Linked DNA regions of Coturnix japonica. The protein of the gene in region 2 interacts with the protein of the main gene of each other region in a pairwise test. Links are inferred from orthologs where the notes say so. Each region holds a gene or a part of one and is shown on either strand. Other genes may lie near its edges.

The links.
Region 1: the proteins of CYTH1 (region 2) and ITGB2 interact in a two-hybrid assay, tested with the Homo sapiens proteins (2 studies listed by BioGRID). The link is inferred for Coturnix japonica from reciprocal best matches to the Homo sapiens genes CYTH1 and ITGB2.

What each region holds. Positions count from the first base shown.
Region 1 is NC_029522.1:2,235,461-2,241,255, forward strand, and holds part of ITGB2 (integrin beta-2), read left to right. Parts: intron 1-3,186; 5' UTR 3,187-3,189; coding exon 3,190-3,253; intron 3,254-3,453; coding exon 3,454-3,542; intron 3,543-3,786; coding exon 3,787-3,970; intron 3,971-4,346; coding exon 4,347-4,517; intron 4,518-4,748; coding exon 4,749-4,990; intron 4,991-5,341; coding exon 5,342-5,497; intron 5,498-5,758; coding exon 5,759-5,795.
Region 2 is NC_029533.1:4,598,141-4,604,657, forward strand, and holds the start of CYTH1 (cytohesin-1), read right to left. Parts: upstream 3,757-6,517; 5' UTR 3,626-3,756; coding exon 3,553-3,625; intron 2,083-3,552; exon of another isoform or gene 1,803-2,082; coding exon of another isoform or gene 1,778-1,802; intron 694-1,777; exon of another isoform or gene 619-693; intron 1-618. UniProt on the Homo sapiens protein: Promotes guanine-nucleotide exchange on ARF1, ARF5 and ARF6. Promotes the activation of ARF factors through replacement of GDP with GTP.

The DNA of each region.
Region 1 (5,795 bases), on a different chromosome or scaffold from region 2:
GAAAAAGCTTGCTTGCTAACATAGCGAGGGGAAGGTGTAGGTCCTGTAAGTATAGCCCATGCGTGATGGAGAAACCGGAGAGCTGCTTTTCAGTTTTGAATCATTCTCAAGCAGACAGACTTTCATTTTCGATGATTTTTAAAGGTCTGGCTCCGTGCCTCACAGGGAGATGAAAAGCAAACACATGAACATTCACAGAGATATCAAGCACTGTGGCTGACACAGGTGCTAGTTCCTCTGCAGGGAAGCGTGGGAAAGCTATAATGTTGCATTTCTCTATCATTATTGTCACATCCTGCTGTGCTCAGTGGTTTTGTAGTGAGTTGTAACTAAACTCAGTGGGTTAGCAACTGCAATGCAGGACCTACTTTCTCGCATGAAGCACAAGAAGCTGGAAGTCTCCCACTTTTGCAGTTTGGTCGCTGCAGGTAGGAGGCAAACCACTTCATTACACTACTGCCAAATGGGTAATGCTAGCCAGGGGACTTCACTAAAGCACCAAAGAGAAAAGGAACAGCTCCTCTGTCCTAAATGGTGTATGATAAACAGATTCCTGCTTAGCCTAGAACAGGTGCAACAGGACATTTGCACCAGTGACAGAAGGAGGCTGCAATCAGCGACTGGAACAGACCCTTCAAGGCTTTGTGTACTTATATCTACCTTTCTATAAATATATATTTTTAAATAGATAGATGTATATATAAAACTAGAGATGATGCAGGCAGACCCTGCAAGGCTACTGTTATTGATGTGTATGTATATACATCCATATATACCTGTACATAAATAGATAGATACACACATTTTTTCATGGAGGAAGAGCCTCAGTGTCTCAGCCAATCCTAGCCCTCTTGATGGTTGTCTACGTTGATGGGAATTACCCATAACACCAAAGTTTGAGAAGAAACAGCCACAACCAAGTGCTATGTACCGCCCTGCCTTGCTGTGCTCTGTGGTGCTCATTTTCACTCTGTGCATGGCAGCCTCACTGTTACAGGCAGATGATGCAAGCCTGCCAAGAGTCCTCCAGAGATACTGGGCACAGGAAGATGTCCTTCCACTTTACAAGAAGAACATAATTAGCAAAGCAGCAAAGGAGGGTTGTGGCCACCAGTCTGCAAGACCCATCTCTGCTGTTGAACTCCCATCCTATTTATAGCAATGAGACAGCAGCAGCTAGCTTTGACACTTCCCCTTCAGCTCTATTTATAAATCCCAGCTTGCAAACAGGAGCATGGTCTTTGTGCATCCCTCTGCTTGCCATGAGAAGTGAATCTGTCCCTAGCAGAGCACAGCTGGGAGCAGTGAACCCTTAGCAGTGTGAATCTGACACTGAGACAAATGGATGGCAAGGGCAGATGGAGAAGACACTGCAGGGTCGCTGCCTGGGCCCTGCTAGCACCACGTCAAACAGAAAAGCTGGGGCTGACTGTGAGGAGGCAGACAAAAGCAGAAGTCCCGTTTGCTTCCTTTGAAAGTCACCCTATATCGCATACACGCTGATCCACCCACAGAGCAGTGAATAATTTCCTTCTGCAGTGGAATGAAAAGAAGCAGTGAGCTTTTCTGCTGCTGCAGTCCCCTAGCATTAGGGTGTGTTTTACACCCTTGCTGCCGGGAAAAAAAGGACTGTTAGCGTTATAAGGGCACCAAAATTCAGCCAACAAAACGAACCCTTTAGTACAAAACTCATTATCAAACAGAGCTGGGCTTATATGGACTGTGTTTCTGGGATCAGGGAGGTATTTTTAATCCTGTTGTAATTGGAAACTTACTCCTTTTTATGGAATGAGCCTGTATGTATGAACCCACTATCTCCAGCAATCCAAGCACAGGGAGCTCGGAGGGCCTCAGTCTGTGGCTAATCTCATGGCTTATACAGCTCCCTTCTTGGCCTAAGTGAGTACAAAGGGCACATGTCCGCACACATGCAGTTACGGGCTTTCCTTCCATGAGAAGAAGATGGCTGCCAGTGGGAGTCCGACTATGAGACAGGCAAGAGGTGCACCCACTATGAAACCCAGCCAGAGCTAGCTTGTGTGAACACTGAGGGTGTTCCTTCTGCACCTGCTCCCAGAGCCCAATCACCCATGGAGTGCCCACGGAGATGCAGTGGGTATGGTCACAGACAGGGATGGAGCTGCAGACCCATCACAGAATGGCACAGCAAGGCAGAGTCCTGGGCTCTGAAACCATGACCAGGTGAGCACAGAGTCACCTTTTCCTGTCTGCATAGAGAGGTGATGGCCTCCAGAGCACTGCTGGGGAGCTCAGCCCTGAGGTGGTCACCTCTTAAGGCTGCAGATCTTCACACCCTGACACCCTGCACTCTGCTGCTACCAGCGCACCTCCAAGCTCACAGAACAGCCAGGCATCAAACCCCAGCGTGCAGCTGTCACAAAATGACACCTATTAATCTCCTTTAGCATCTGATCTTTCTGGTCGGTGTCACCCTTGACTCGTCTGGTGCCTCACAGCGGCTGACAAGCTGCAAACACATCCTTGTGCCTCAGGAGCAGCTCTGAGCAGCCATATTTACCGCTTGGGGTTTGGTGCTTTCTGTGCATTTCCCTTGCTGCTTCCTTCCCACCATGAGCTGCTCAGTCTGGCAGGTTCTCAGGACAGGCTGATGATGCTCTGCAGCACTGACAGAACCAGGGAGAAGGTGTCTGATTGCTCACAGTGGCATAAGAGCCATTTCAAAACCAGTGACATGTCCTTCTGATGTATCTATTATTGCTGAAAATTGAAACGTTCATTGTTCCTCCTCTTTTTTCCTCTTTTCTCACATCCCCAAATACATCAATGTTGGAAGGCCACAACCCTGTTGGGTTTCACTTCAGGACTGAGCCTTTCTGCATTACGTACGTACACGAATATAGATGGAGAAGAATCTGGATAAATATCACACCAGTCTACATAGCGGTTCAGCTGAAGTTGCACTGATGCAGTGCCAGCTGCTGCTCTGCTGACGTTCATGTTCAGCCCAAAAGCTCTGTTTAGCTGGATACCAGTGTATTTTTCTAAGAGCATGCGAGCTGTCAGTTGGGGTCATGCTCGCAGGACCCAACCTGCTTTGGGGTGGAGACATCCACTCAGTGCCACCATCTCTGCAGACATTTTCTGTGAGATTTGGAGGCTTCCTTTCCTGAGGCCGCTGTCATAGGGATGCCTTTTCTCTTGCAGAAAATGCCACGTGACTGCTGCCTCTGTCTGCCAGCAATGACCTGGGTGCTGCTGCTGCTGACAACAGGTGAACCCCACCTGCCCTTCCTCCCTACCTTCCCCCAACACCTCATGTGGTCACTGAAATGTGCTGGAGTGGGGAAATACCCATCACTGCACTACATGTGGCACTGAGAGCCATACAGGTGTGGGTGCCTGCTGCTGGGAGCCCCACAGCTGCCTCTGGTGCTGGTCCTCCATTTCTAACTCATCTTCTCCACATTCCAGCCTTTGCTGCAGAGTGTCCCAAGATCAAGGTGGGGACATGCAAGAACTGCATCCAGTCTGGCCCTGGCTGCGCCTGGTGCAAGAAGCTGGTAGGTCCCCGTATCCTCACATGCTATCAGCAAAAGGGCAGTGAGAGCCATCCTGCCAGTGGGCAGTCAGTCCTGGTAGGACTTTGTGTCCTCCCTGCTGGATGAGACCAGAACTTCAGCCTTTACTTTCTCCGCCAATATCCCAGAGCCCCAGCAGAGCTGGTTTGGGAGTTGGGTCATTGGAGTTGTGTGTTTACTTACCTCCTGCCCCCCTAATTTTTCTGTTTGATGTTGCAACACTCAGGATTTCACCAAAGCCGGTGAGCCAGACTCCAACCGCTGTGACACTGTAGAGCAGCTGCAGCAGAGGGGATGCCCAGAGAACGAGATTGAGTTTCCAGTCAATGAGATCAAAAGGACACAGGACAGTGCATTCAGCAATAAGATACAGCTGACTCCCCAGGAGGTGCATCTGAAGCTGAGGATAAGTATGATTCCTGTGTTGTGATAATAACCTTCTGCCCATCCCCACACTCAGCTGGGTAGCAGCTGAAGCTGGCCAACATTTGTTGCACATGTTTTTTACCCTTTCTTCAAAACTGTTGTCAGGAGGTGATCCTGCAGGAAACCTGAGGGACCTCACAGGAGCTGTAAAGTCTTGAAGGAAAAGCTCTTGTGAAGATGTGAGGGTGGGGGATGCTTCAGGGGAGATAAACATGGAGCCTGTAGCTGTGCTGGGGTGTGGTGGCATGTCAAAGGTTTCCTCTCCATTTTCTCCCAAAGAAAGATCCCAGTGTGGGGTGGGCAATGAGGCAGGATATGATCCACAGCACAGTGGCTGAACCTGGTGTCTCTATCCCACAGGGGAGCCTGCTGAATTTCACGTGAAGTTTCGCCGCGCCACAGGTTACCCCATTGATATCTACTACCTCATGGACCTCTCCTATTCCATGCTAGATGACCTAGAGAATGTGAAGAAGCTAGGAGGAGAGCTGCTTAGAGCCCTGGAGAACACCACACCCTCTCGCCGCATAGGTGAGCCTGTCTGAAGCACAGGGCCAGCTGTTTGCTGGGAAGAGTAGTGAGGCCAGTGGACAAAATAAGATGCAGGATGCAGGCAGTGTGAGGCAGTGTACTGGAGCAAGGGATGTGGACAGGTACTTGGCTCCTCATGCAGGAACCAGGAGGCTGTCCATGCCCGGTGCCATCAGAACACTTGCCAACCTCTTCCATCTCTAACAATGCCCATGGTCCTGGGCGTCCTAGGTTTTGGTTCCTTTGTGGACAAGACAGTACTGCCTTTTGTCAACACACACCCTGAGAAGCTGAAGAACCCTTGCCCCAACAAGGACAGTAATTGCCAGCCCCCCTTTGCCTTCAAACACATCCTCTCACTGACCGACAATGCTGAGAAGTTTGAGAGTGAAGTGGGGAAGCAGTTCATCTCAGGGAACCTGGATGCCCCAGAAGGAGGGCTGGATGCCATGATGCAGGCAGCAGTGTGTGGAGTGAGTACCCAAAAGGGCAGCCTCATTTCTTCCCCATTCCCTTCACCTGCAGGCATGATGGCTGCTGCCTCTGCTCACGGCTCCTCCAGCAGGAGCTGGTTCTGCCCCTCCTGGAGCAGGTTGTGGATGGCTATCATGTAGCTTCAGGCCCGTAATGCACGTAGAAGTCCTGATTTGGCTGGATACAGGAAAGTGTCTCACCTGTGGGCTTCCTGACTTGAGTCCCCAGTAACAGTCCTCCATGCCCTCCAGCCCTTGTGGCTGATGTGACTCAGCAACTGCACAGTGCTCAGGCAGCATCACCACAGTCCCATTTGGGGACGAGTGTCAGTGCTGTCCATACCATTACAGGACTTGATTGGCTGGCGCAATGTGACCCGACTGCTGGTGTACGCAACTGATGATGGCTTCCACTTTGCTGGTGATGGCAAGCTTGGGGGCATTTTGACCCCCAACGATGGCCAGTGCCACTTGGAGGACAACATGTACAAAAAGAGCAATGAGTTTGTAAGTACTCTGGCATTGTTCCCAGGTTTGCTCAGTGGCTCTGCACCCTGAGCCTGGGGGCAGCTCCACGGCAATTGCTTTCAGCCCTCAGGAGGGCCCTGGGGACAGTCCAGGGCAGGGGGTGTGATGGATGGAGGCAGAGATGCTGCTGCCTCAGGTGCCTCTGAGTAGTGAAAACTCCTCCGTATCAGGTGTTGTCTTGTTTGGTGTGTTCCACAAGGTCTTCCTTACAGCGACTATCAGCCTGCTCTTCTCACACAGGACTATCCCTCTGTTGGCCAGCTGGTCCAGAAACTTG
Region 2 (6,517 bases):
GAGTTCTGGCCCAGCCCCTGGTGCCACTGCAGCCCCTGGCCCCTATGCTCACCGGGGCCATGGCACCACAATGGGACTTAGAGCCACCCAAGCAATGTTCATCCACAACGGGTAAACCCTGGAGAGAGCTGGCTCCAGGCCACCCTTGGTGCCTACTCTGTGCTGGAACAGGGGTGAACCAATGCACCCCAACACACATCACTGCACGGGGGGACACCTGGCTGCCCTGCTTGGCCCACAGCAGCCGGGGCTGAGCCACACGCTCCCATTGCCCCCCCTCACACTGCAGCTCATGGGTAACATTCCTGCAGCTCCCCAGCCCGTGACCTCCCGCTCTGCGGTTACGTGGCACCCGCTGCTCCTGTTCCCAAGGTCACCCCCACAGCCCCCGCCTACCCCTGCCCTACCATCACCTTCCAGCTCACATCCTACAACAAGGCCACGACCAAGGCTCCAAGATCGGTGCCCGCACCACAAAGCAGCCCACACCATCCTCCCCCCACCTGTCCCCAGGTGCCCACCGCCCCCTCCATCCCACCCTGCATTGCCCCAGGTCCACCTCAGTCTGTCACTCCTTGGCAACCCAACAGCCAGGACCCTCCATCCCCTCTCTCACACCCCAGCACCGTCTGCTCTCCGTTCCCAGCGTAGTTCCCCCCTCCTCTCCAGGGCTCACGGTGCCTCTGGGGTGGCTGCGCTCACACGAACCGAATGTCCCAGCTCAGCACTTTCCTCATTCCACTCGCCTTCTCTGCTGAGGTTCCTCCTTTAGAGAAATCCCCTCTGCAAAGGTCAGCAGCAGCCTCGGCTTGCGACACGATCCCTCTGGACTCGATGGAACACTTCCCAATATTACAGCACCAGGTTCTGAACTCTATCTATGCCAACAATGCCAGAAGCATTGCTCCGTAGGCTGCACAAACCCTCCCTAGCACTGGAATGGAGTCGGTCCCACCGGAGCACGGCCTCCCCGGTCCAGTTGTGTCCAGCACCCTGCAGGATGCAGCTTGCTGGGAGCTGCAGCGTGGGGCTGCGTGGGAGGTGAAATTCCGTGCCAGACCGCAGCCCTCCCAGGCCCACAGAGGGTGGGTGGATGGGTGGGAGGCTGCAGCAGCGACAGAGCGGTGCTGGCACACGGTGGGTGCACAGAGCCCTGGGGGAACACAGCCTCTGCCCACCCCCGGGCAGTGTGGGCAAGGGGCTCATAGGGACTCATAGCAGCCACAAAGCCCAGCCCCCCCCCAAGCCTGCCTGATGCTGTGCTGGGAGAGCACTCGTGACATGGCCCAGCCGTGTCAGCAGCAGCAGGAGGAAGAGAAACCCCAGACGCAGAGCTTTTCTCAGCGAAGGACGCAGGCGTTAACCCTTCCATAGCACCGAGTGGAGCTGCAGCAACCTCTGAGCCTGCACAAGGCTGCAAGAGGGGGCTGGAGCAGAACACCAAATCCAGCAGCCATGCCAGGCTATCATCCCATGCCAGGCTAACATCCCATGCCAGGCTATCATCCCAGGCTGCCATGCTGGGTGCAAGGATTCTCAGCACAAACCACAGAGCACCAATACTCTGAGCCATCCCCCCAACCTCTGCAGAGCAATGCAGGGGAGCTGCTGCCTCACCCCCAGGGCAGTGAGGAGCATGGCAAGGCTCCATCCTGGATTCAAGGAGCAAATACCCCGCTCACACCATGCCTTGAACAGACACAAAGCCCCTCTGCATCGCATTCAGCCCCACGTGCCTCCTTCCCACCCACTGCCCCACGCAGGCCCATCTGCTCACCGCTGCCCTGCACCCCGAGGACCATCCTGCTGGGCTGTGTCCCGCTGCCCACGTCTGCACAGTGCTGCAGAGGTGCTGCTCTTTGGGGTGCCAACAGCTGCCCCCTCCCAGAGCTTCCTGGGTGAGTCAGGGCAGCTCCAGGCCAATGAGCTCAGCGCTGTGCCAGGCGTCATCGCAGCCCGGCTGAGAACTGGCACCAGCAACACCCGGTTCCTGTGCAGCCAGAGCCCCGCGCCCCCTCCTCGGCCCCCAGGGTCACTGCCGCCCACCCATCCTTGCAGGCACTGGAGCTGGCCCGGCCCTTCCTTCCTCGGGGGCTGCCAGGATGCATGCGGCTCAGCACGTCCCAAGCTCAGGGCGGTGACACCAGGGACCCCTCTCCCACCCCATCCAGAGCCCCAACCCTGCCCTGAAGATCTGGCACTGTCCAGCCATATCCCCCCCCCCATGTGTGGGTTCAGGGCCTGTATAGGCTGTAAGGACCACCTGCTCTCATTCCCTGCAATAGGGCCGTGCCTGCAGCAGCACAGCCCTCAGCAAGGTCCTGTCCCGCTGCAGCTGCCCGGGGAGACCACAAGAGCTCCGGCACATTGACTCAGCTAAATCCTGCTCCACAGCGTGTGATGGAAAAACAGCATCCAGAGCATCTCCCAGGAAAGCTCAGGGAAGAAGGAGCTAAAAAGAGGCTCACATTGGCCTTCCAGCTGAACGCTGTGCTGCAGGGACACAGCCCTCCTGCTGCACAGCTCCATCCACAAGCAGAGCTGAACAGACCGCAGGGATGCCCCAGCCCAGGGCAGGGGCTGCTGACCACAGGGCATTGCTTGTGGGTTCCACCATGGGGCTCCTGCTGCACCCCACTGCTGGGGGGGGGGGTTGCTGAGGGGCCCCAAGAAACTTCCTGCCGCTGCCCCAGTGCACCACATCCTGTTTTCACTGTGCTGTGTGCACATCCTGGGTTGCGTCAGCCCTGTTCTTCCCCACAGACAGATGAGGTGCGTCAGGAGCACAGCATAGGGCGGCTCCAAGATAGAATCCCCCAACCCCACCCCATAGCTGAGAGCTGCCGGGGGTTCTCAGCCCCTTGGAGCAGCCCTGCCCCCAGCAAGGAACCCAGCCCACCAGTTCCAGGCTCCTGCACCCCCTAAGCACAGAGCCCATCCTGGCTGCGGGGCTGGAGTACAGCAGGGGCACACAACGGAGCCACATCCATCCTCACTGTGCTATGCCTTCCTACAGCCCCACGTCCTGCAAGAGTGCCAGGAGTGCACCCCATGTGCTCCTTGCTTACTCTCTATTCCCAGGTCTCAGCTCGGGAGCAGGAGCCTGCAGACAGACAACAGCAGCTCACAGGCACTGCCAGCCCACGGTGGCAGCTGTGACACAGCAGGCGTCAGGGTGCCCCAGCCAGGTTTTGTCTGGAGGACGTGGGCTGGAGCTGTGCTCACAGCCACGCATGCTCCTTCCTGCTCCGAGTAGGGCAGCAGTGAGGGCATCACCCGCAGCAGCGCTGGGGTAAGAGAGCAAGGAGCTGCTGGACACATCTCACTGTGCCACGTGAACCCACTGTGCTCCCATGGGCTCCCCATCCCAGCAATGTGGTGCAATACAAGCTGCACCCAGAGCCCAGGGGGGCCCAAGCCTGGCAGCGCACGGTGGAAGGAGACAGCAAGACAACTGGGACTGTGTGCTGCTGTCAGCATGAGCCATATGGAGCCAGAGCTACGGGCACCTCGTCTGCTGGGGGGGACAGGGATGGGGCACAAAGCACCTACCTGCCGTGGTGGCCACGGAGGGGCAGAGGAAGGCCTGGAAGCTGGAGGCGCAGAGCTCGCTGACCGTCCCCATGCTGCGCAGTGCCGGCTCCCCCGGGGCAGGCTGAGGGCAGGAGGGCACCGCACAGCAGCTCCCTGCAGCTGGGGCTGCCCCGGGTGTCCCCGCTCCTCCTGGAGCAGGGGAAGGCGGCTCTGGCAGCGGGAGGCTCCAGCAGCAGGAGCCCACGCGCCGGTCGCAGCCAATCCCGCTCCGTGCCGGCACCGAACGCTGCTGTGTTCCTGGGCACTCAAAGCCACTTGGAGGACGTAGAGTAGGGAAGTTCCCAACAGCACCCCTGGTATCAGGCTGCCTGCCCCCCCTCTGCCCCCCTGCATGCCCCGGCCCCTGGGTGGCTGACGGCGGGGGTATTTTTAGAGCGGTTTTATCCCACCGTATTAGAGCTTTAAGCATCAAGAGCCGCTGGTTGCGTAGCAACCTTCCCTGCATAAAAGGAAGGTGCATAAAGAAACACAACGGGCTGGAGCTGGCGTGGGGAGCCCCCAGTTGTGGGGAACAGGGGAACGCTGCTCCCCAGTATGGCCACAATGGATTCAGGCACCTGGGAATGCAGAGCGGGCAGCCTGGAGCTGGCACATCATGGCTGTGATGGAGATGATTCTCCAGGCCCTGGCAGCCGGGATGCTCCTACAGCAGGAGCTGGGGCTCTGCCCGAGCTATGGGCCTCCAGCAGGGCTGGGGGCAGCACTCAGCCCCACCGCACCCGGCCCCCAACCTGCCAGCCCCACAGGCAGCGAGGGAGCCCAAACCGGACAGACAGCTCCTTCCCTTCCTCCGAGCAGGAGTGATTCCCCAGCGTGGGGCACGTCCGTGAGTAACAGACTGCAGAGCCTGTCGGGGCATGAGGCCGTGTCCTGCAGACGGCACCTGGTACTGGGTCCTGACTGCTGCTGGGAGCCTGCTGCAATGGGCTGAGCTGGAGAACCCCCAGGGTGGGCAGATAGCATCCAGATGGGGAAGGGCTATGGGAATGGGCACAGGACCTTGGGGGCATGGCTGGGGACAGGCAAGAGTTACCCTGGTGTTGGGAGCAGCTGTGGATGGATGGGAAGGAGATGGGAACGGCTGCTCACAGGTGCTCATCACCTCCATGACTGAGTTGTGCTGCTTCCCCTTCCCTTGGAAGCAAACAGCTTCTGCCTCCTCCTCACTGCAGAGGTGAAAGGTGTGAGGAGCTGCAGGGACACAGGGCTGGGCCAGGGGGAGCCTGTGCAGGGAGGGCAGCCACGGGCACTTGAAATGGGCTGCAATAATCACAGCTGCACCAACTGTGGCTCAGTCTCTGCTTCCACATTGCAGCCCCAGCTCAGGGCACTGTGCTGTGCACCCAGAGCCATGGGTGGGCTGAAACAACAGCTCAGGGATGTGTGGCTCTGCTTGAGCCTCCATGCAATTTCTGTGTGTCAGCAGTGCTGCTCGTCACGCTCTGCTCTGCTCTACCTTGGCTAACAGCCTTTCTCACAACACTGCATGCTCTGCAGCCCCACTATCCCCACCCCCTGAGCTCAGTCTGCCCCCAGTCCCACACTACCTGGTGCTCACCCCAGCCCCACTATGCACAGAGCTTCACCCCCTCGTGTCCCCACAGCCCCCGCTGCCTGCTGCAGGGCTGCACCACCTCCAAAGCGCATCACTGACCCCATACTAAGGCACCTGCCGGGTCCTACCCAGACAGCAGGGCTGGCAATGGGCTGCCCACCCCCAGCCCACCCCGGCGCTGCCCCAGCCGCGGGCCCCCAGCACAAGCCGCTTTGCAGAGCCCGCATCAACCCCGCTTAGAGAAATCCCTTAATCCTCCAGGGCAGCGCCAGCCGTAATCCCTCGGTGCTGTGGGATTACCCTTGGGCCGGGCACAGTCCGGGACGCAGCGCTGGGACAACCGGGGCGCCCCGACGGGCCGATCCCGGACAGCCGCCCCGTGCCGGGGATGGGGTGACACGGGGGGACACAGCTGTGCCGCCAGCCGGGATTTACTCCCTACCGACACACGGTGCTGGTGGTGGGGCCGCCACCTGCACGACTCCGAATCAACGCGGTCATTGACGCTGCCCAACGCCGGGAACGAGTCGGGCCGAGCCCCGGAGAAACGCCGAGGCCGAACAGCAGCGGCCGGTCCCGGAGCAGCCCGGGGTGGTTCCGACGGGCGGCATCACGGCGGCCGAGCCCCAGTTCCGCACACCCCGCCCCGGGAGGAGCCGCCTTATCGCCGCCCGCAGCCCCGCACCACCGCCCCGCGGCCCGACGGCGGCAGCCCCGGTGCTACAGCCGCCCCGCAGCCCCCCCCCGGTGCCCCCCGTGCCCCCCCGCACTGACCGTAGCCGCCCTCCTCGTCCATGCCGCCTCCGTCGCTCCGGCCCCGCCCGCGTGACGGCGGCACCGAGGCCGCAGAGGGCGACGACACGTGACGCGAGTGGGCGTGGGCAGCGCAGACCCCTCCCACTCCCATACGTCTCTACCCCCCCCACCCCCATAGGCCCCTCCCGCGGACACTCCGTTCACAAACGCGCGTGGTTTTATTGCCCGCCCGGACCCGACGGCTGCACTGCGACTCGCACAGCGGGGATGGGGCCGGGGGGAGGCGCAGTGCTGATAGCACAGGGTCAGTGACCCCCTCCCCAGGAAGAGAGGAGGGGGGCACGCAGCCTGCAGGCACAGCAGGGGCTTCCAGGCTCCAGCCAAGATGGAAGTGATGGAGGTGGGAGTGGGGGCAGCCCCCCAGGCTGGCTGATACAGCAGCACTGGAAGGCAAGGGAGCACAGCCCTGCTGGGGAGCTCAAGCAGTGACTTGGGACAAAGAACAGCCCAAACCTCCAGGAGGGCAGAGGCAGCAGCTCAGGGTCCACTGACCCTCTGTCCCCTGCAGGGCAGAGCAGAGGGGAGCAGCCACATCCCGCTCCTAAGGGAACC